Oryctolagus cuniculus: one gene and its partner. The protein of the gene in region 2 interacts with the protein of the main gene of each other region in a biochemical or structural test. Links are inferred from orthologs where the notes say so. Each region holds a gene or a part of one and is shown on either strand. Other genes may lie near its edges. The genes, in order: NUP43 and NUP85.

The links.
Region 1: the proteins of NUP85 (region 2) and NUP43 form a complex in vitro, tested with the Homo sapiens proteins (2 studies listed by BioGRID). The link is inferred for Oryctolagus cuniculus from reciprocal best matches to the Homo sapiens genes NUP85 and NUP43.

What each region holds. Positions count from the first base shown.
Region 1 is NC_091436.1:18,265,886-18,277,066, reverse strand, and holds the start of NUP43 (nucleoporin Nup43), read right to left. Parts: upstream 7,558-11,181; 5' UTR 7,487-7,557; coding exon 7,367-7,486; intron 7,094-7,366; coding exon 6,971-7,093; intron 5,311-6,970; coding exon 5,233-5,310; intron 3,602-5,232; coding exon 3,421-3,601; intron 1,826-3,420; coding exon 1,690-1,825; intron 1-1,689. Other genes in the region: PCMT1 (protein-L-isoaspartate(D-aspartate) O-methyltransferase), read left to right, coding at 9,824-10,058. UniProt on the Homo sapiens protein: Component of the Nup107-160 subcomplex of the nuclear pore complex (NPC). The Nup107-160 subcomplex is required for the assembly of a functional NPC.
Region 2 is NC_091448.1:5,326,807-5,338,042, forward strand, and holds the start of NUP85 (nuclear pore complex protein Nup85), read right to left. Parts: upstream 7,369-11,236; 5' UTR 7,244-7,368; coding exon 7,211-7,243; exon of another isoform or gene 6,828-7,210; intron 1,526-6,827; coding exon 1,432-1,525; intron 1-1,431. UniProt on the Homo sapiens protein: Essential component of the nuclear pore complex (NPC) that seems to be required for NPC assembly and maintenance. As part of the NPC Nup107-160 subcomplex plays a role in RNA export and in tethering NUP96/Nup98 and NUP153 to the nucleus.

The DNA of each region.
Region 1 (11,181 bases), on a different chromosome or scaffold from region 2:
AAAATAACAAAAACTCTGTCACTTGCAGCATATGGATGGAACTGCAGAACTTAATGTTAAGTGAACGGTCAGGCACAGAGAGATGAACACTGCATGTTCTCACTTATATGTGGAAGCTAAAGTTGATCTGATGGAAGTAGAGACCAGAACAGTGGTTACCAGAGCCTGGCAAGGGTTTGTGAGAGGGAAAGTTTGAAGAGAGGATACTTAATAGGCACAGAGTTGCAGCTGAATAGAAGAAATAATTTCTAATGTTCTATATAGCACAATATGATAAATTATGGTTGACAAAAATTAATTGAATATTTCAAAATAGCTATCAGAGAGATAAAGGATGTTCTCAACCCAAAGAAATGATAAATGAGGTGACAGATACGCTAATCACCCCAATCTGATCATTACACACTCTATACGTGTATTTAAGTATTATATCATACCCTATAAATATATACGATTACTATGTCAATTATTTTTTTTTAAAACAAAAGCAATAGTAAAAAAATTACTAGATAAAGCATACTTCCAAATAACAAAATAATTTTTGGAATTAAAAGCTAAAATTATCCATTCGCTCTTCAATCTGGAGACGTGGGAAGCAAGATAATATGATGGCAGGATACACAAAATACATTTCCATTTCATAGGTTTTTAAAAATATCATACGTTGGGGTGAGCACTATGGGACCCCTCACAACACCCACATTTCATGTTGAAGTGCTGACTCAGCTACTGTTTCTGACCCAGCTTCCTGCTAATATACCTGGGAGACAGCTCAGGTGCTTGGTCCCCTGCCACCCATGATGGAGTTTTGGGCTCCTGACTTTGGCCTAGCCCAGCCCTGGTTGTTGTGGCCATTTGGTGTGTGAAACAGTCTCAAAAAAGCTAAACATTAAAAAATATGTCATATATCAAATATGCTGAATGTTCTTTACTCCCATCTTATTTAATGCTCAGCTTATATAAATGCTGTTTCTTAATTTGACACATTCTATTTTCTTAAGAGAAAAAAAAGAGTTGAACATCCAGAAAGCAGGATTTCTGCTCTGGAAAAAACTCATGGACTGTATTTTCACTCCAATTACTAACCAAAAAAAAAAAAAAATCATTTGATAAGCAGAAGTAAGTTCTCCATGAAATAATATGAACTTCAAAGAGATAAAGGCTCTGAATCGAAAGAATTTACTAAATGAAGCCCACCACATTAACTTGCTCTATCAAATTTAATCAAAGATTATTCTCTTTATTTAAAAAAATTTTTTTAAAGATTTTATTTAGTTATTTGAGAGGTAGAGTTATAGATGGTGAGAAGGAGAGACAGAGAAAGGTCTTCTCTCTGCTGGTTTACTCCCAAAATGGTCACAACATCTGGGGCTGCGCTGATCCGAAGCCAGGAGCCAGGAGCTTCTTCCTGGTCTCCCAGGCGGGCCCTCCCAGGGGCCAAAGCACTTGGACCATCTTCCACTGCCTTCCCAGACCACAGCAGAGAGCCAGATCGGAAGAGCAGCAGCCAGGACCAGAACTGGCGTTCATAGGGGATGCTGGCACCACAGGAAGAGGATTAACCTACTGCACCACAGTGCCGGGCCCAGGGGTTATTCTCTTAAAATGCAATTAAAATACAATATGGTTTAAAGCCAATTGCTGTAAACAATTGAATAAATTAACACTGCATTACACATCAAAACTTACAGTGATAATATTTGAGAGGGCTCATTTCCTTGTTGTCGGAAATCCCATATTTTTAATTGTCCAATTGAATTTACCGTGAGAATCTCAGGAGTGCGAAGGAAGGTGACAGCATGGAGTGTACTGCTGTCTGCATTGTCTACAAATTTAAAAAATGGTAGTGTGTGTTAATGGAGCTCTTTTTTCTAAGAAAATGTTAAATCACATGCCTTCTACTGATGGAAATATTACAAATAACATTTCCAATAAATCACAGCATAATCTCTACAGAAAAACTCATAATGTATAGGTTTAGACTCTTTTTGGACAGAAAAACAAAACTCACAGGACATCTGAACTGTTTTCTGAGTGGAGGACTCAGTTTTCAGATTTCTTCCTTTATCTGCTCTTAAGACTATTACCCTGTATTTCTGAGATAGCTGTTGAAGCTCTTTTATATCCAATTTTTTCTCTTCAAGTCCTTGACCCTGAACTTTTATTTTAAATTGAGCCCAAACTCAGTGCCAACTACAGATTTTATTATTTGTATTTTTCTATCTCAGATCTATTCATCTTTACTCTCATCAGCTCTCTCCTCCAGAAGATCCTTCCTGATTGTCCCAATGATCCTTTTCTTTGAGCTCCTAGGGCGTTTAGAATTTACACTGCGTAACTTAACATACACTTACAGGTGTTAGTTTTGTACCACTCCTCTTCATTGCCATCAGGCAGCGGTTCTTAACAATCACACAAGTCATGTATTTCAGAAGTAAAATCCATAAGTAACACCCGATGCCTGGGCTCAGTCCCTAGGGATTATGACCCAAGAGATCTAGCGTGATGGTTAGAAATACCCCAGGCGAGGCCGGCGCCGCGGCTCACTAGGCTAATCCTCCGCCTAGCGGCGCCGGCACACCGGGTTCTAGTCCCGGTCGGGGCGCCGGATTCTGTCCCGGTTGCCCCTCTTCCAGGCCAGCCCTCTGCTGTGGCTAGGGAGTGCAGTGGAGGATGGCCCAGGTGCTTGGGCCCTGCACCCCATGGGAGACCAGGAAAAGCACCTGGCTCCTGGCTCCTGCCATCGGATCAGCGCGGTGCGCCGGCCGCAGCGCGCCGGCCGCGGCGGCCATTGGAGGGTGAACCAACGGCAAAGGAAGACCTTTCTCTCTGTCTCTCTCTCTCACTGTCCACTCTGCCTGTCAAAAAAAAAAAAAAAAAAAAAAAAAAAAAAAAAAAAAAAAGAAATACCCCAGGCGAGTTTGTGTGAGGCATGGCTGAAGACCACCACCTTAGAACTACTCTTCAAAAGCATGACATGGAGTGTTATCACTCCCTTGCTTAAACACTTTCGATGGCTCTCCAGTTTTCCACCTGAAAACGTAACCCCAGTGGTTTAGCATTAGAGAATCTTTACAACCTGGTCCCATTTACCTTTCTGGATTCATCATTTGTCTCTCTTAGACAAATACCTAAAGTCAGGTCCGGCTACATTTTTGTCAATAGCTGTTTAACTGTATCCTGCTTCCATACTACTCCTTTTGCCTGGTATGTCATCTTTTAGTATTACTTATGGTCTAAAACCTAGACGAAATTGTCAACCCTCCTTCTTCTCTGTGGTCAGTCTCTTACTAGCCTCATCAACACAGTTTTGACAAAGGCCTTGTACATTTTTAACCCTCACTTAGCCTTATTTATTTAGCATATGGCACATGCATACTTGCTATGTACAGAGGAAAGACACGTAATGATTTTTCTTACCTATAGTTCTCACAGCTTCCTTATGATCCGCTCTGAAGAGATTTATGCGACCGTCTTCTCCAACTGTGACAATTTCTGGGTTGTCGCACACAACCCCTGTGCAAGGTGCACTGCAGTAGGAAGGGCTGCCAGGACCCGTGTGGTAGTGAGCTGTTGTCCACTGCTGGCTGACTGATAGAGTCTAGGCATCAGAAATGAGCACACTATATTAATCAAAGAAAGCTCTAGGGAACTAGTGCTTTCCCCCAACAAGAGTATTTTTAAATCCTACCTCACACCTTCTTTTTAAAAGAATAACTCTTGGGGATGGTGCTATGGCATAGTAGGTTAAGTATCAGCCTGCTGTGCTGGCACCCCATATGGATGCTGGTTTGAGTCCTGGCTACTACACTTCTGATCCAGCTACCTGGTAATGGCCTGGGAACGCAGCAGAAGATAGCCCAAGTGTTTGGGCTCCTGAACCCATGTGGGAGACCTGGAAGAAGCTCCTGGCTTTGGACTGGCCCAGCTCTAGCCATCGCAGCCATTTGGGGAGTGAACCAGCAGATGGAAGACCTCTTTCTCTGTCTCTTCCTCTGTCTGTAACTCTGCCTCTCAAATAGATAAACAAATCTAAAAAACAAAACAAAAACAAAACAAAACAAAACTCTCCTTTCTCCTTTACAGTATTGATACTCAATTACTGCCAAAGCTCTGTGCACACTGAACTAGGCTGAAAACGAATGTGGTCTAACAATGTTCCACATTTATCTCAAACTAACATAATTGTTTTTAGGTAAGAGGTAGTTGAATGTTCAAAAACAACTAAATTTTTATGGGAATGAGTACATCTAATAAATAAATCGCTACAGTCTCTCATAAGTGACTCCATTAAGAAAAATACTTAATGAGATCTGGGTCTTATGTTTATTAGGCATGCCTGTAAGTAAGGTGGCATTTAACCTTAAAACCTAAATGAACACTCTCCTCCAGCAACTTCAAACTGCGTTATTACTGGTGGGGCTGTTTTAAGGAACTGCCTGCACCAGTAGGTTCTGCAGGCTGGGCCTGATGGGCTTTAGCACACAAGAAAGTACTGAAAAATAAGTCATGTCTTCATACAGCAGATGCTGGCTTCAATTGCAGACCTGAGTTCTATCCACAGAGGCAAGACAGCCGATCCTGTTCTCTGCTACAGTATCTGAGCTAAAAGAGGCTCTTTCTTCAAAAGACTAGAATAGGAACTTAAAGAATTATGGAAAATTACCTGCCAAATTACCATATTGCTTCATCCAAACTAACAGAATGCATTGCAGGTTTACCCAATTTCAATAACAGCTCACAGGGCTGGCGCTGTGGCGTAGCAGGTAAAGCCACCACCTACAATGCCGGCATCTCATATGGGCAATGGTTCAAGTCCTGGCTGCTTCACTTCCCATTTAGCTCCCTGCTAATGGCCTGGGAAAGCAGTAGAGGATGGCCCAAGTGCTTGAGCCCCTGCACCCAAGCAGGAGACCTGGAAGAAACTCCTGACTTCTGGCTTTGGTCTGGCCCACCCCTGGCTGATGCAGCCACTGAGAAATGAACCAGTGGAAGGAAGACCTTTCTGTTTCTGTCTTTCCCCTCCTTTCTCTGTAATTCTCTTTCAAAAACAAACAAACAAACAAACAAACAACTCACAAAAACATGGTTCTAGAATTACATTCGCAAAAAGTAATGATATTTTCCCCCCCTTCATATCGTAAGGCTTTAAAACTATTAAATACGGTTTTCCTTACACCTTTCTAAAAATAACTAAAATACAAATTCACTTTTCAAACCAAAGTTCTTTACCTGGTTATTTGGATGGTGAAGGAAAATTGTTACACATCCTGTTGATGAAGCAGCTACAATTCTTTCCTGGTCAAAAAACTAAACAGAAAAATTCCTGCTTATTATAGATTCAGAAAAACTAGTAGGGAGGAAACCCGTTGTTTAACTGAATTTATAGCAAATTACGTAACTGTAAAAGGTAAAAAGCCTGTAAGTGCTACCCAAATAACATTTGTTAGATCTAAAAGTTAACATTGCTATACAAATAAAGGTATTTTCATGAGGAATAAATGGTTGGCCAAGTTAAATTCTCTAAGCCTTGGAATGTGGTGGGCATTTGGCTTGCTATGATGTTGGGTTGAGATGCCCAAGTTCAGAATGCCTGTGTTCAACACCCAGTTCTGGCTCCTTATTTCAGCTTCCTGTTAACGCAGGTCCTGCAAAGCAATGGTAATGACTCAAGTAATTGGGTCCATGCTACCCACATGGGAGACCTGGACTGAGTTCCTGGCTCTTGGCTCCTGATTGACGCAGGCTTTGGTGAATGAGCCAGTTGATGGGAGCTCTAACAAATACATTAAAAAAGAAATTTCCCTGAGGCCACTGCTGTGGTACAATAGGCTAAGCTTCCGCCTGCAGGGCCAACATCTCACACGCACCCTGGTTTCCATCCTGGCTGCTCCTCTTCTGACCCGGCCCTCTGCTATGGTCTGAGAAAGCAGTAGAGGATGGCCCAAGTCCTTGGACCCCTGCACCCGCATGGGAGACTGGGAAGAAGCTCCTGGCTTCAGATCAGCCCAGTTATGGCCATTGCAGCCATTTGGGGAGTGAACCAGCAGATCGAGAACTTTCTCTCTGTCTCTAACTCTACCTCTCAAATAAGTAAATTTTTAAAAATCTGTATTTTTAAACAGGGAGTACTAATCCTACTCAGGGTGGGTTATGAGAAATCAAAAAATTTAAAAGACCTACCCTGCACAGTATTTGTCACAAATGAGGATAATTCAAGAAGTTTATGGAAAATGAAATTAAAAGATAATGCATTCTAGTGCAAAATTTTTAAAAGCCCATGCATAGTTTATCTATAATATGCATTTTCCATGAACTTTGAGATCCTTAGCAGTGTGTGCTCGAAAGATAATATTCTTAGCATTCTCACGGGCAAAATAGAAATAACAATACTGACTCACAGACATGTAATTAGAATTAAACGGTCTTATGTAAAACTCCAAAAATATCACTTGCAGGCCGGCACCGCAGCTCAATAGGCTAATCCTCCGCCTGCGGCGCCGGCACACCGGGTTCTAGTCCCGGCTGGGGCGCCGGATTCTGTCCCGGTTGCTCCTCTTGCAGTCCAGCTCTCTGCTGTGGCCCGGAAAGGCAGTGGAGGATGGCCCAAGTGCTTGGGCCCTGCACCCGCATGGGAGACCAGGAGGAGGCACCTGGCTCCTGGCTTCGGATCGGTGCAGCGCCGTCCGAGGTGGCCATTTGAGGGGTGAACCAACGGAAGGAAGACCTGTCTCTCTCACTAACTTTGCCTGTCAAAAAAAAAATAATAATAATAAAATAAAAAAATCGCTTGCAGCTGGGAGGTTGTGCCACTAAGTGATCAGTCTACGTTGGGTAAATCCTAACCTATGGAGAACTCGCTTTCCTGTAAACTAGGGGTGAGGCCAGGAGAGCTCTCAGGTCTCTGCACTCTAAATGCACTGCTCTGGCTTTCTTTAGAAGCGAGCCTCTGGGCACTGGACGCGTTTACCTGTAAGTCCATGACGTCACCATGGTGTTTGATATCGCACAACAGTCGATGGTCTCCTTCCAGGCTTCCATCAGAGTCCGGGTTTCCGAAATCTCCGATAGACCACAGTGAAACGTGATTCTCCTGTAAAGCAAACGGCTTCATCTTGAGATGACAGAACCGTCAACTCTGGAAAGTAAACCCAATGCGTATCGCCTTAAGGCAACCTGGGCTCCAAAGCATCTCACACGGCATGGGCAGAATGTGAAACAAGAAGACGGGGGCTCGGGCACACCCACGCTGGCTGCAGCCGAGCCCCCGGACCCGGGGCCGGGGAGGATGGAAAGTCGCGCGCTCCAGGGCACCTGGGCGTGGGAGAGGACGGAGCCCCGGGGTCCCGCCCCGGAGCCAGGGTACCTCATTGTCCCAAGAGCCCGTGGCAAAGGTCTCGGCGGTCTGCAGGCTCCCCGGAGGCACCGGCCGCCAGCGGGTTTTGCTGATTTTCTCAGACACAAACTTGGCATACAGCTCCTCCATGCTGAAAGCAACAGCAGCAGGCACAGCCAGCCGCGCGCCGCGCGCCTCCGGGTTCCGCCCCTTCCCGCGGAGCTCTGATTGGATGGGAGCTCGCCGGGCGACGGCGGCCGCGAAGGGCCAATTCCCAGCGGAAGGCGGTGCAGGCACTGCCGGGCCCGGACCAGGAGGGGTCTGAGGCGCCCATGATCAGCGAGGTGGCTTTGAGCAAAACCAAGAGTGCCCCGGCCTATGTGCAGTGGGATCTGCACCCGACATGCAAATGCAGAGGAGGAACATGGAGACAACGTGCTTGTGCAATAACTTAAGAACAAAATCACTGCGTGGGAAACCACCTTGCAGGCACATCAGCTGCTTGTCACTATGCATAGCAAACAACTCAAAATCCTTCAATCTTCATGGCACTATTTCCAATAAAGTACGAATTTATTATCCTAAACCTTTGACTCCAGTTTTAGTTCTGCTGCCAGTTACCTAAGGTTACCTAACTGTAACCTTGGTCAACTCACTTACATACGTAATTTTTTAAGAAAAGATTTATTTCAAAGGCAGAGTTGCAGAGAGAGGGAGAGACACACACACAGAGGGAGCTCTTCCATCCGCTGGCTCACTCCCCAAATGGTGGCTTAGGCCAGGGCTGGGTCAGGTCAAAGCTGGGAACAGCCAGGACGCAAATCGGCGGCTAAAACCACTGTGCCACAACACCGGCTCCACTTCCATTACATAATTAAGAACGGATTTTGTGATACCTAACGTCCACAGCCTGGGGCATGAGTGCTGCGGGTTCCTTTAGTGCCTTTGGTTATGGCTAAAATACCTTTCCACTCCTCCTCTCAGAATCCTGTCCACCCTTCACCCTTTCCCTGACGGCCTCAGCGGAGGATGAGGAGGAGAATAAAACAGAACGTTTCGTATCTGCATCACTAAGAGCACGCATTTTGCCCCGTTTCTGGTTTCCTTTTCCAAAGCTCCTTAGCGTGGAAATCCTACTGATTCCAAGAGGTATGATTTATTCCACCTTGGCAACTCTCTTACACCGCTGTATTCATAACTATATGTTGTCTCTTTAAAGGGGGCCGTGCCGGGCTGCCGGTTTACGAGGTCGGGGGTCCCACTTCACCGGGACAGTTTGTGCAAGGAGTGGACGAAACGTAACCGCCGCGGCCGGCTTCGGTGAGAGTTACCAGGGTCTGCTCTGCAGCCGAAGATCGCCAGCCGTCTGCGGAGAGACGGAACGGGCGCCCGGGAAGCGGATGAGCCCCAAGTCGACAATTTCATTCCTATCATATATCCACGGAAAGAACAATTGCGTGTGGGCTCGTTTACGACCACAGAACCCCGACAAGAGGACATGCGTATTTTTGAACAGTGTCACATTCGACAGAACCTGGTAAGCGCGAGAACTTGAAAACTGCTGCTGATCTAAGAGCTTAGACGCGGTGACACAGCTTTGTTTCTTTCCTAAACGTTTACCGAATGACCTAAACGACGGCTGCATTCTGTCAGACTCCGTGCTAGCTCGCAGTCTGCAGCTTGGACGCCACAGGCAGTTTCCCCATCCCGGGCTTGGGCACGGTTCGAGCCCAGCCTCACAGCGGAATCCGTGAGGCTCCGTTTACTGACAACGCACACTTGCGTTGGGAGAACCACACATTCACCATAGGACACTGGGGCGTTTTCCACCGGTTGCAGCTTTTTACGTTTGCTCTAAAGGAGCGAAGCATCCCCGCCTCACCGCACGCCCCAGTCTCAGTTTTTTCTCCCTGGCTCCCACTGTTTCTGCATAACCAAACAGGGGTGCGCCTGTCATAAAGCCGGAGGCTGGTGTTCTCGGGTCGCAGAGGGTCCTCGCCCTTGGGGCTCGATTAAGAGCATCATTTCGGCGCCGTCACTCCAGCCTTGACTCTAATCGACCCAAATATTAGTCGACGGGGTTGGGTGAGGCGGGACGGAGGGAGCCCACCGTCTAACAATCTGGACCGCTATAGGAGCAGCCCCGCCGCTCGCCTCAGGTGACACAGCGCCGACTGCGGAGCCACCAACGGCCACGGCACAGATCGGCCCCGTCATCCCGCCGCCGCGCCCGGCGCCCGGACCGCGCAGGAGACCGCCCCCACCCCCAGGGCTGCAGGGCAAGGGCGGCGGACAGCCCGAGGCCTCAGAAAGGGGCACGCAGGGGCTGCGGCGGCGCTGACTCAGCCCTGCCGCCCTGCGGCCCCAGGGCAGCCGCAGCGGCCACTGGCACCGGCGGCGGGGGCACTAGGCCTCCCCCGCCTGCGGCCCCACCCGGCCGCACCCGAGGGCCGCGCGGCGTCGCAGGGCGCATGCGTGCCGCGGGGGATGCCGGGAGCGCGCAGTGGCGGCAGCGGCAGCGGCGGCGACGGCAGTAGCAGCGGCGGCGACAGCGGGGACGCGAGCGGGGCGGTGACCGTGTGGGAGGTGGTCTCACTCTTAGCGAAACTGTTGGGGACCGTCGCCGCGCTGAAGGTGGTTCTGTACCTGCTCCGAGTGTGCTTAGCGATGGCCTGGAAATCCGGCGGCGCCAGCCACTCGGAGCTAATCCACAATCTCCGCAGTAAGTGCCACCCCCGCCCGGTGTGGGGCAGTTGGGGCAGGCTAGGCCCGGACCGGGTCCCCCGGGCCGGCCGCAGCGTTCGGTCGGCCACCCGTCCGCCTCCGCGCCTGTCGGAGGGCTTGGGCAGAGTTGCAACGGCAGTCGCGGGCTGCACGCGCCGGCGATCGCCTCCCCCTGGAGCGGTCCGTAGCCGGACGGGCAGCGAGAGCGCGCGTGGGGGCCCGCTGCTGCTGCTGCTGCTGCTGCTGCTGGGGCGGGGGCGGGGGCGGGGGTGGTGGTCTCCCCGCGCTCCTGCGAGCCGGGGGGCGCCGCACCGGTGATGACTGGGCTGTGTCTGGAGTCGGCGATCCGAGCGCAGCCGGGCAGGCGAGGGGCGTGACTCCGGGGTGGGGGAGATGCGGGCCGGGCACCTGAGTCGGAACTGAGGGGGACCCCACGCTGGCCCCCCGGCCTCCTTGAGGGGCTTCCCTGCGAGCTTTCTCTGCGGTCGCCTCCCCCGCCCTGCGTGTTTTCCTCTGGAGGGAGATGCCGCTGTCTGATACAGGCGAGCGGAGGGGGGGAAGGCGAGAGTCCTGCGGGTGCGAATGCGGGCTGCTGTCCAGTGGAAAGCTCCGTGGGGGGCGGAGGGACAGAGTGCAGGGGACGCTGGTCCTGGGAGACTTGTGTTTTCGGAGCCTTTAGAGCTCCCAGATCCAGCCAGAGGGTTTACGGATGGAATGCTCTTTTTTCAGCCCTACCGTAGGCTTTAAAAACCTGCTATGGAAGTTTATACACACACACATACATACACACACACACACACACACCATTCTCTTTTGGTTTTTGTATTCCTTCCTCTGATGATGATTTCAGGGTGGGATGGAGTGCTGTGTCACTTTCTTTTTTTAAAATTGAAATATAGTGTCGGCGTCTGTTCGGGAGGCCAGAAGGATCTCACTCTAGGAAGAATTGATAGCTCTTTCTTTGCAGCTAACTTTGCAAATAATCTTATCCTGCCACGTAGTATTTTTAATTGTCCTGTGTTTTATTTTAAGTTTTTTTTCGTGTGGTTGTCTTACTGCTCGACCGGATCTGGAACCACCTTGGAGGCTGGGAACATTTTTTAAAAAGTGATCTTTGAATC
Region 2 (11,236 bases):
TTGGATCAGCGTGATGCGCCGGCCACGGCGGCAATTGGAGGGCGAACCAATGGCAAAAGGAAGACCTTTCTCTCTCTCTCTCTCTCTCTCTGTCCACTCTATCAAAAAAAAAAAAAAAAAAAGGAAAGAAAGAAAGAAAATCTCTTCATTTCTTGAGATTTTTCTCTTGAAAGGAGAAAGCAAATCTAATGTCAAGATTTCGGTGTCATCCTGCTACTGGAGCCTGGACTGGGGGAGGGGAAGAGCCATGGCCAACAGCTGACGTGGCGCAGCCCAAGCCAAGGATGCCTTGTCACTCTCCAGCCCCATCTGGGACAGAAGCACCGTTCCGCTCACGCTGGGACTGCAGAGCTCCACAATGCGGGAGAAACTACGAAAGGAATCTGGTCACTGCACAAGAAAAAGGCAAAGACAGCAGGGCTTATTAACATAAAGGAAATCTTTTTAAAAATTTATCTATTTCGAGACCGAAACAGAAGAAGGGAAACTCGGAGAGCATGCGCACAAGCGCACTCCCCTCTGCTGGTCCATGCCCCGCTCGGCGGCCAGGCCCAAAGCCAGAGGCTCACTCCAGATCTCCCTTGTGAGCGGCCGGAACCCAACCATCTGAACCATCTTGTGCCAACTCCAAGGGTCTGCATTAGCCAGACATCAGTGAGGAACTGGAGCTGAGAATCAAACACACACACCATGACATGGGATGTGAGCATCTAACTACCGCGTTAATCACTAGGCTAAGCCCTCCCTTCTTTTCCTTTTTTTTTGTGTGTGTGTGTGTGTTTTTTTACATTTTATTTCTTTACTTGAGAGGCAGAGAGACAGAGAAATCTTCCATGTGCTGGCTCCCTCCTTGGCCAGGGAGAAGCCAGGAGTCTGGAACTCAATCCTAGTTTCCCACAGGGGTGGTAAGGACCCAAATACTTGAAGCATCACCTGCTGGCTCCCACAGTGCGGATTAGTAAAAAGCTGGATCAGCAGCAGGACCAGGACGCAAACCTAGACACTCTGTTAGTGAATGTGGGCATTCCAAGCGGCTTTAAGATTTATTTATTGGGGCCAGCGCTATGGCACAGTAGGCTTAAGCCTCTGTGTGCAGTGCTGGCATCCCACATGGGTACCAGTTCATGTCCTGGCTGCTCCTCTTCTGATCTAGCTCTCTGCTATTGCCTGGGAAAGCAGTGGAAAATGGCCAAGTGCCTGGGCCCCTGCACCCGGGTAGCAGATCTGAAGGAAGCTCCTGGCTTCGGATTGGCCCGGCTCCGGCTGTTGTGGGCATCTGGTGAGTGAACCCGCGGATGGAAGACCTCTCCTCTCTCTAACTCTGCCTTTCAAATAACAAATAAATAATCTTTTGTTAAAAGGAGGGGGATAGAAAATGAACAAGTATGCCAAGGTAAACCATCTGGACCCAGAAACAGAACAAATGCCTACCTTTATTGTTGAAGGAGGTTTCACATACCAGCAACTCCCCCGGACCCCAGTCAAAACACATTTGTTTCTTCTTAGAATTCACACCTGGAACGAACTATCAAAAAACAGGATGAGAAAATTGTTACTCACCCTGAAGGCTTTACTTTTTTCAAAATTTATTTTTATTTATTTGAAAGGCAGAGTTACAGAGAGAGGTAGAGACAGAGAGAGGCTACAATGGCCACAATGGCCAGAGCTAAGCCGACCTGAAGCTAGGAGCCAGGAGCCTCTTCCAGGTCTCCCACACAGGTGCAGGGCCCAAGGACTTGGGCCATCTTCCACTGCACTCCCAGGCCACAGCAGAGAGCTGGATCAGAAGTGCAGCAGCCGGGACTAGAATCGGCACCCATAGGGGATGCTGGCGCTTCAGGCCAGGGCGTTAACCCGCTGCACCACAGCACCGGCCCCTTTGCTTTTCAAATGACGTATAAGCAGGGGCTGGTGTTTGTTGGTGGACATGGGATCAAGCTGCTTCTTAGGAAGCCTAAGGAGTGCCTAGGATCAAGTCCCACCTCATATATTTTTTTTTAAGGTTTATTTTTTATTTGAAAGGCAGACTTCCAGAGAGAGAGATCTTTTATCTGCTGGTTCACTCCCTAGATGGTCTCAAGGGCTAGGACTGGGCCAGATGGAAGCCAGGAGCTTCTTCAGGGTCTCCTACATGAGCGCAGGGGCCCAAGAACTTAAGATTATCGTCTGCTGCCTTCCCAGGCACATTAGCAGGGAGCTGGATCAGAAGTGGAGCAGCCGGGACCTGAACCAGCGCCCACATACGATGCTGGCTCACAGGGGCAGTCTTACAAGCTAGGCCACATCGCCGGCCCCCACCCCAACTCCTTCCGATCCAGCTTCATGCTAACGTACCTGGGAGGTGGCAGACGATGGCCCAGGTACTTGAGCCCCTGACACCCACATGGGAGACCTGCCTGGAGTTCCTGGCTCTTGGCTCTGGGGAGTGAGTCAGCAGATGGAAGATGAGTCTCTCCCTCTCTGGAATTCTGCCTTTCAAATAAATATATTTTCTAAATGACTTTGAAGTCCCAGCAAAGATCTTTTATCTGTCTCCACAGCCCTCCTCTCCCGGAATGTCAGACTCATACCACAGATGCCTTTTCAGATCGGCTCCTTTCACTCAGCAGTGTGATGTTCTGACTTTTTTTTTTTTTTTAAGATTTATTTTTTATTTATTTAAAAGGCAAAGTTACAGAGAGAAGAGGAGAGACAGAGAGAGATCTTCCTTCCACTGGTTCACTCCCCCAGTCGGCCACAACAGACAGGGCTGGGATGCACGCTTTGCAGGCACAGCTTAACCTGCAGAGCCACATGCCGGCCCACTTAGGAATAAGCATTTACGCTTCCTCCAAGTCTTCTCACGTCGTATAGTTCATTTCTTTTGGCACGGAATGGTATTCCACTGTCGGGTTATACCAGACACTCTTTACTGAAAGACATCTTTGTTGCTTCCAACTTCGGGCAATTACAAATAAAGCTGCTACAAAAATTAGAGAAAAATTTACAAAGACTTACAAGTACAATCACAGATATGAGCAGACATGAGAGTTAGGAAGTGCTAATCTGAGATGGGCCCGTTCTGTTCCGTCACTAGCAGCACCTGGACATGCGAGGCAGCCTGGTGGGCGCCTCACCCAGGCCGCCATCTCTCAAGTGTCAACGAGCAGAAAGGTTGCACCCTAACCAGTGCATACACTGTAATGGTCTACAGTTTAGAACAAGGGAAGGTAAAAATATTTCAGACTTGCTCATTTAAAAGAGCTACAGGGGCCGGCACTGTGCCGCCGCCTGCAGTGCTGGCATCCCACATAGGCACCGGTTCAAGGCCTGGCTGCTCCACTCTCTGCTGTGGCCTGGGAAGGCAGTGGAAGACGCCCAAGACCTTGGGCCCCTGCACCGCGTGGGAGACCCAGAGGCAGCTCCTGGCTCCTGGCTTCGGATTGGCGTAGCTCCAGCCGTGGCAGCCATATGGGGAGTGAACCAGCGGATGGAAGACACATCTCTCTCTCTCTGCCTCTCCTTCTCTCATTGTGTAACACTGACTTTCAAATAAAATAAATAAATATTTTTAAAAAAAGTTACAAAGAGAGAAGCAAAGACAGATCATAATCTGCTGGCTCACTCTTTTTTTTTTTTTTTTTTTTTTTAAAGACTTACTTATTAGAAAGTCAGAGTACAGGCCGGCGCTGTAGCTCAATAGGCTAATCCTCTGCCTCCGGCGCCAGCACACCAGGTTCTAGTCCCGGTCGGGGCGCTGGATTCTGTCCCAGTTGCCCCTCTTCCAGGCCAGCCCTCTGCTGTGGCCAGGGAGTGCAGTGGAGGATGGCCCACGTGCTTGGGCCCTGCACCCCATGGGAGACCAGGAGAAGCACCTGGCTCCTAGCTTCAGATCAGTGCAGTGCGCCGGCCGCAGCGGCCATTGGAGGGTGAACCAACGGCAAAGGAAGACCTTTCTCTCTGTCTCTCTCTCTCACTGTCCACTCTGCCTGTCAAAAAAAAAAAAGGAAGACCTTTCTCTCTGTCTCTCTCTCTCACTGTCCACTCTGTCAAAAAAAAAAAAAAAAAGAATACACAGAGAGAGAAAGGAGAGAGAGAGAGAGAGAGAGAGAGAGAGAGAGAGTTTTCCATCTGCTGCTTCACTCTCCAGAATGCCCCAACGGCTGGAGCTGCACCAATCTCAAGCTAGGAGTTTCTTCCGGGTCTCCACGCAGGTGCAGGGGCCCAAGGACTTGGGCCATCTTCTACTGCTTTCCCAGGCCATAGCAGAGAGCTGGATGGGAAGTGGAGCAGCCAGGACTTGAACTGGTGCCTACATGGGATGCCACCACTGCAGGCAGCAGGCCCTGGTTCACTCTCCAAATGGCCACAATGGCCAGGGCTGGGCCAGGTCAAGCCAAGAGCCTGAAACTCCATTAGGGTCTCCCAATGTGGGTGGCACAGCCATCATCTGCTGCTTCCCCAGGCACATCAGCAGAGGATGGATGGAAAGCAGAGTAGCCAGGACTTGCACTGGCACTCATGAGACACTGGTGTCACAGGCTGTGCCACAATGCCAGCCCCCAAATTTTTTTAAAAATATTTATTTGAAAGTCAGAGTTGGGGCTGGCGCTGTGATGCAGCAGGTTAATGCCCTGAAGCGCCGGCATCCCACATGGGCACTGGTTCGAGTCCTGGCTGCTCCACTTCCGATCCAGCTCTCTACCATGGCCTGGGAAAGCAGTGGAAGATGGCCCAAGTCCTTGGGCCCCTGCACCCAAGTGGGAGACCTGGAAGAAGCTCCTGGCTTCGGATCGGCTCAGCTCCAGGTGCTGTGGCCATTTGGGGAGTGAACCATCGGATGGAAGAACTCCCTCTCTCTCTCTGCCTCTCCTTTCTCTGTGTAACTCTTAAAAAGAAAAAAAGGAGAGGAGAGGAAAAGAAAAGTCAGAGTTACAGATAGAGAGGGAGAGACAGAGACAGAGAGATCATCCATCCACTAGTTCACTCTCCAAATGGCTGCAACAGCCAAAGCCAAGAGCTTTTTCCCGCGTGGGTGCACGGGCCCAGATGCTTGAGCCACCTTCTGCTGCTTTCCCAGGTGCATCAGCAGGGAGCTGGATCAGAAGTGGAGCAGCCAGGATTTGAACTGGTGCCCAAATGGGATGCTGGCCTTGCAGACAGAGGCTTAACCCACTGTGCCACAGCACTGGCCCCAAGCCCCTAAAATCTTTAAGTAATTGAACTGATTCTGAAGAACAGGAACTTCCAATCGTTACTCCTGCGCACAGCTATGCTGGCGCCTCCAGACAATTATCCCCGAAACAGACCAAGCCCTTTGCGCCTCGGCTTCACAAATCGACTTACAAGCTAACCCAGATCAGCAGCCAGGAGGGAAACCCTGAGGCTCACCCTTACCTCCAAACCTCACCCTTACCTCCAAACCTCACCCAGTCTCCAGCCGGCAGGAGTGACCCCAGCTCCGGCTCCGGCCTTCCCACCTGTGTCTGACCCAGCGGTAAGTCCTGGCCGCCCCTGACAGGAGCCCGAGTCTGATCACCACGTCTACAGCCCAACTGAGGCTACCAGCAACTCTCCCTGAACGACACTTCTCAGTCCCTGAGTGATCCTCTCACATGGCCATCACTTGCCCTGTAAACAGACGGCGCTCACAAGGGCAGGGGCTTTAGGATCTTCACGCACTGCCTACAGAGACCCTGCCGCACAGAACTCGGCTAGCGACGGCCTAGTCTCAAGACAAGCGAGTTCGGGCCTCAGGAAGACCTAACGCAATCCCTGAACAACTAAGCAATGCTGGGCTCTAAGAACACAACGTGAAAAAGCCTCTCCCCTCCAAATGCGGGCAGTTTACAAGAAGAGCAATAGGGGGCGGCGCTGTGGCCTAGCAGGTAAAGCCGCTGCCTGCAGTGCCAGCATCCCACATGGGCGCCAGTTCGAGTCCCGGATGCTCCACGTCCGACCCAGCTCCCTGCTGTCCCCTGGGAGAGCAGTGGAAGATGGCCCAAGTCCTTGGGCCCCTGCACCCACGTGGGAGACCTGGAGGAAGCTCCTGGCTCCTGGCTTCAGACCAGCGCAGCTCCAGCTGTTGCAGCCACTGGGGAGTGAACCAGCGGATGGAAGACCTCTCTCTCTCTCTCTGCCTCTCCTTCTCTCTCTGTGTAACCCTGACTTTCAAGTGAATCAATAAATCTTCAAACAAACCAAAAAAAGAGCAATAAACAGCAGGCAGACAGAAGCCAAAGGTACAGGCACACGGGAGAGAGTCGGATTAGCCAAATCTTGACGGATGAGCAGGCCGGCAAAGGGCAAGTGTTCCACACGCACTCGAAAATTAACCACACAGTAGAGCAAGACGCGTAAGACCCGAAGCAAGCACGGTAGGAGTCTGCCTGCTTCCAAGACCACACGCACAGACTCCAGACGAGACGCAGGGCCCTCATCAGGGTGCTCTGCAGGGCCACAGCGGGTTTCACCGCCACCTGGGAGGCCGCAGCCCACATCTGAGAACCGGGTTCCAACCTGGGCTCCTCCCAGCGCAGCCCGCACGCTCGGGCCCCTGCTACCCTTCCGGGACAGCAGCATGGAGCTCTGGCCCCGGGCTCGCGCCTGGCCCGAACCCGGCTGCTGCAGCCACGGAACACCTCTCTCTCTCTCTGTCGCTCCGCTCCGGATAGGTCCAGAACCTTTCGTGAAAATGAGTGGAACTGAAGGGTACCCAGACACGCGGAACTCTGCGAGCCCGTCACGGGCTGACTCTTGTCAAGGAAGGGAAAAGATCGCGGGCCGCGAGACCGGCGGGCTTCTCCTGTGCAGAGCCCAGGAACTGCTTTACCGCCGATCATCCGCACCTGACACACTCGAGAGTCCAAGCGGAACTGAACGCACAGCGATGTTAAAAACAGTGTCCCCGAGAGAATAAATACGTTCACTAAACTTCGGGCTAGCACTGACTAGCAGGCAGAAACTCAGGACAAACAGGGAAGCCCCAGCTCCTCTGCTCAGCCCGAGCCCAGTCTCGTGCCCACGAGGAAATGCGAAGGCAGTAGGGTCAGGGAGACAAAAAGAGGGGTGGGACGGCGACAGCACGGCTGCACCCTAGTTCCTAACGGAGCCGAGGAAGGGGCTGGGCACCGCGCGGCCGGCAGGGAGCCGCGCTGACAAGCTTGAGATGACCCAGCGGACGCCGTCCCGGGGCGGCGAGCGCAAGCAGGCCAGTCCCGGGCTCCCTTACAGTGACTGTCGGCTCGCCATCCAGCTCCTCCATAGCGCCGCGCCGCCGACACGCTCCTCCGCTCGGGCCTCCCGCTCAGGAGCCTGCCGCGAGAGAGGACCCCGCCCGGGCGCCCCCGGCTGCGCCTGCCGCCCAACCCCGCGGCGCCGCCGAGGCCTCGCCTCTCAGCCACGACCCACCCCTGTGCCGCCCTCGCCATGCGTCCCTCCTTCACTGCCTCCGCAGAGCGTCCGGGAAGGACAGCGCGAGGGCAGCCTATAGTCACAGGCGTGATCTCGCCCGGTCAGGCAGCGCCGCGGACAGCCCCGCGCCGGGCAGAGAGAAGGCCCCCGGAGACGGCGGGAGAGACCGCGGGGCGGACGGCAGTGCGCCTGCGCACGCGCGGACTCGGGTGGGTGTCGCCGGGCGGTGGCCGGGGTCAGTGCCCACGGTGGCGGCCCTGGCTCCCCCGTCTGCGCTGCGTGGCGTCCGCACAACAGCGTCTCCGAGCCCCGGCGATCCAAAGGGCGTACGTTAGGAAGCTGTCGCCGCCATTGCCTCTCCGGAGCGCGAGAGGCGCGCGGACCTAATTGATGGCGTCTAAACCGGCCGCGAGGAGTGGACGCCTGTTGATGCTGGTTCTGTGCGAAGCGGCGCGCGCGTCCGTGACGCCCCTGGCGCAGGAGAGAGGGGCTCCAGTGACCTGCAGCAGGTGTTTTCGGAGTGACACATGGAGGGACGGTGGCGCCGGGCTCCGCTCCCCCTCGGCCACCTGGGCGAACTCAAACTCGCGACTTGGAAGTCTTAGGAAGCAGCTCAGCGCGGGAGGAATCTGGCCCGAAAGGCTGTAGCAGGGCGTCCCCTGGGCCGAACGCGCCTGTCCCTGCCGGAACTGGGAGTCTGTCCTGGCGCCCAGCTGTGTGTCCTTGTCGGGGAGCGCGGGTTCGAGTCCCGGCTGCTCCACTTCCCATCCAGCTCCCTGCTAAAAGCAGCGGAAGTCCTTGGGCCCCTGCACCCACGTCGGGGACCCAGCTGGAGCTCCTGGCTCCCCGCTTCAGCGTGACCCAGCCCCTGCCCATTGCTGCCGTTTGGGGAGTGAACCAACAGATGGAAGATGCATTCTCTCTCTCTCCCTCCTCTCTGGGTCTCTGCATTCAAATAAATAAATACTTTTTTTTTTCAAAAGTGCCTGCTACACACCTATTGAACTTCAAGTCCTACGCCCGGTGCCCTCGGCAGGCCCAGACCAAGTGACTTAGGGGCTTTACACGGCCCACAGGCCAGTGTTCCCCACCCCTGACCTAAGGGGTTCAAAGCTGCCTACTGTTTCCAAAAAGACACTAAACACTGAGTAGCAGATAACATTTTCAAAGTAGGGCAGGCGTTTTCCCTGGCAGTCAGGACGCCTGCGTCCCGTGTCGGAGTAGCTGGTTCTGCACCCCTCGGTTCCTGACTCGCCTCTTGCTGGCCCAGACCATGAGGGGCAGCAGTAATGGCTCAAGTGCTTGGATCCTGGCGTCCACACGGGGACTTGGATGGGGCTACCCAGTTCCTGGGTCCTGGCATCCCCGTCAGCACAGGCCCAAACCAGAGACATCATGGACACTGGAGCTGTGAACTGTTTGTTGGGTGGGAGCTCTCTTTCTCCATCTTTCTGGCTCCTTCCTCTCTGCCTAGCAAACAAATACTTTTTTTTTTTTTTTTTTTTTTTTTTTTGACAGGCAGAGTGGACAGTGAGAGAGAGAGACAGAGAGAAAGGTCTTCCTTTGCCGTTGGTTCACCCTCCAATGGCCGCCGCGGCCGGCGCACCGCGCTGATCCGATGGCAGGAGCCAGGAGCCAGGTGCTTTTCCTGGTCTCCCATGGGGTGCAGGGCCCAAGCACCTGGGCCATCCTCCACTGCACTTCCTGGCCACAGCAGAGAGCTGGCCTGGAAGAGGGGCAACTGGGACAGAATGCGGCGCCCCGCCCGGGACTAGAACCCGGTGTGCCGGCGCCGCTAGGCGGAGGATTAGCCTAGTGAGCCGCGGCGCCGGCCTACAAATACTTTTTTTAAAAAAAGATTTATTTATTTTATTTGAAAGTCAGTGTTAGAGAGAGGAGAGGCAGAGAGAGAGAGAGGTCTTCCATCTGCTGGTTCACTTCCCAATTGGCTGCAACTGCTAGAGCTGTGCCGAGCCGAAGCCAGGAGCCAGGAGCTTCTTCCGGGTCTTCCATGCAGGTGCAGAGGCCCAAGGACTTGGGCCATCTTCCACTGCTTTCCCAGGCCATAGCAGAGAGCTGGATTGGAAGTGGAGCCACAGGGTCTTGAACCTTTGTCCATATGGGATGCTGACGCCTCAAGCCAGGATGTTAACCCACCTGCTGCGCCACAGCTCTGGCCCCACAAACACGTTTTTAAAAGTTAAAAAATTAGAGCCGGCACTGTGACATAGTGGGTAAAGCCACTATGCAGTGCCAGCATCCCATATGGGTGCCAGTTTGAGTCCCAGCTGTGGGCCCCGGTTCATGGCCTGGGAAAAGCAGTAGAAGATGGCCCAAGTCCTTGGGCCCCTGCACCCACGTGGGAGACCTGGAAGAAGCTCCTAGCTCCTGGCTTCAGCTCGGCATAGCTCTGGCAGTTGCGGCCATTTGGGGAGTGAACCAGCGGATGGAAAACACCTCTCTCTCTTTCTTTCTCTCTCTCTCTCTCTCTCTCTCTGCCTCTCCTTCTCTGTGTAACTCTGACTTTCAAATAAATAAATCTTAAAAAAAAAAAAAAAAACAGTGGTGACAACCAAAAATATCTTCAGACATTGCTAACTTCCACTAGGGGCAAAATCATCTGTATTGAGAGCCCAGTCATAGAGTCATAGCTAAATAAATATTTTAAAGATATTGTTAGCTATTTAAAAAGAAACATGAAGAATGAAAAGCACATGGAAAAATCCTTCAAGAGGTTTTAAAATGTCTAACTTTTTTTTTTTTAATTATTATTCTGTTTGAAAGTCAGAGTTACACAGAGAGAGGAGAGGCAGAGAGAGAGAGGTCTTCCATCTGCTGGTTCACTCCCCAGTTGGCCACATCAGCTGGAGCTGCACCAATCCGAAGCCAGGAGCCAGGAGCCTCCTCCAGGTCTCTCACGTGGGCGCAGGGGCCCAAGGATATCTTCTACTGCTTTCCCAAGCCACAGCAGAGAGCTGGATCAGAAGTGCAGCAGCCGGTACTCAACCTTTGCCCATGTGGGATGCCAGCACTGCAGACGTTGGCTTCACCTGCTATGCCACAGAGCCGGTCCCCTAAAATTTCCAACTTTTTAAAAAAGATTTATTGATTTGAAAGGTAGAGTGACAGAGAAGGGAGAGTCAGAGAGAGTCAAACAAATAAATCCTTAAAAACAGCTTCTAAATCAGTAGGTCTGGGGCAGGGCCTGCATATTTGCATTTTTTTTTTTTTTTTTTTTTTTTTACAGGCAGAGTGGACAGTGAGAGAGAGAGACAGAGAGAAAGGTCTTCCTTTGCCGTTGGTTCACCCTCCAATGGCCGCCGCGGCCGGCGCGCTGCGGCCGGCGCACCGCGCTGATCCGATGGCAGGAGCCAGGAGCCAGGTGCTTTTCCTGGTCTCCCATGGGGTGCAGGGCCCAAGCACCTGGGCCATCCTCCACTGCACTCCCTGGCCACAGCAGAGGGCTGGCCTGGAAGAGGGGCAACCGGGACAGAATCCGGCGCCCCGACCAGGACTAGAACCCGGTGTGCCGGCGCCGCTAGGTGGAGGATTAGCCTAGTGAGCCGCGGCGCCGGCCGCATATTTGCATTTCTAAAGATTTCCCGAACCAGGTGGCTCCCGTTGAAGCACAGTAGGTCAACCCTCTGCCAGTTTGAGTCCTGGTTGCTCCACTTCTGATCCAGTTCCCTGCTAATGCACCTGGAAAGCAGTGGAAAATGGCCTAAATCCCTGAAAAATAAAATAAATAAATATCTGAAAGGCAGAGTTATAGAGAGGGGGAGAGAGAGAGAGAGAGGTCCTCCATCTGCTGGTTCACTCTCCAGATGGACCCAACAGCCAGAGC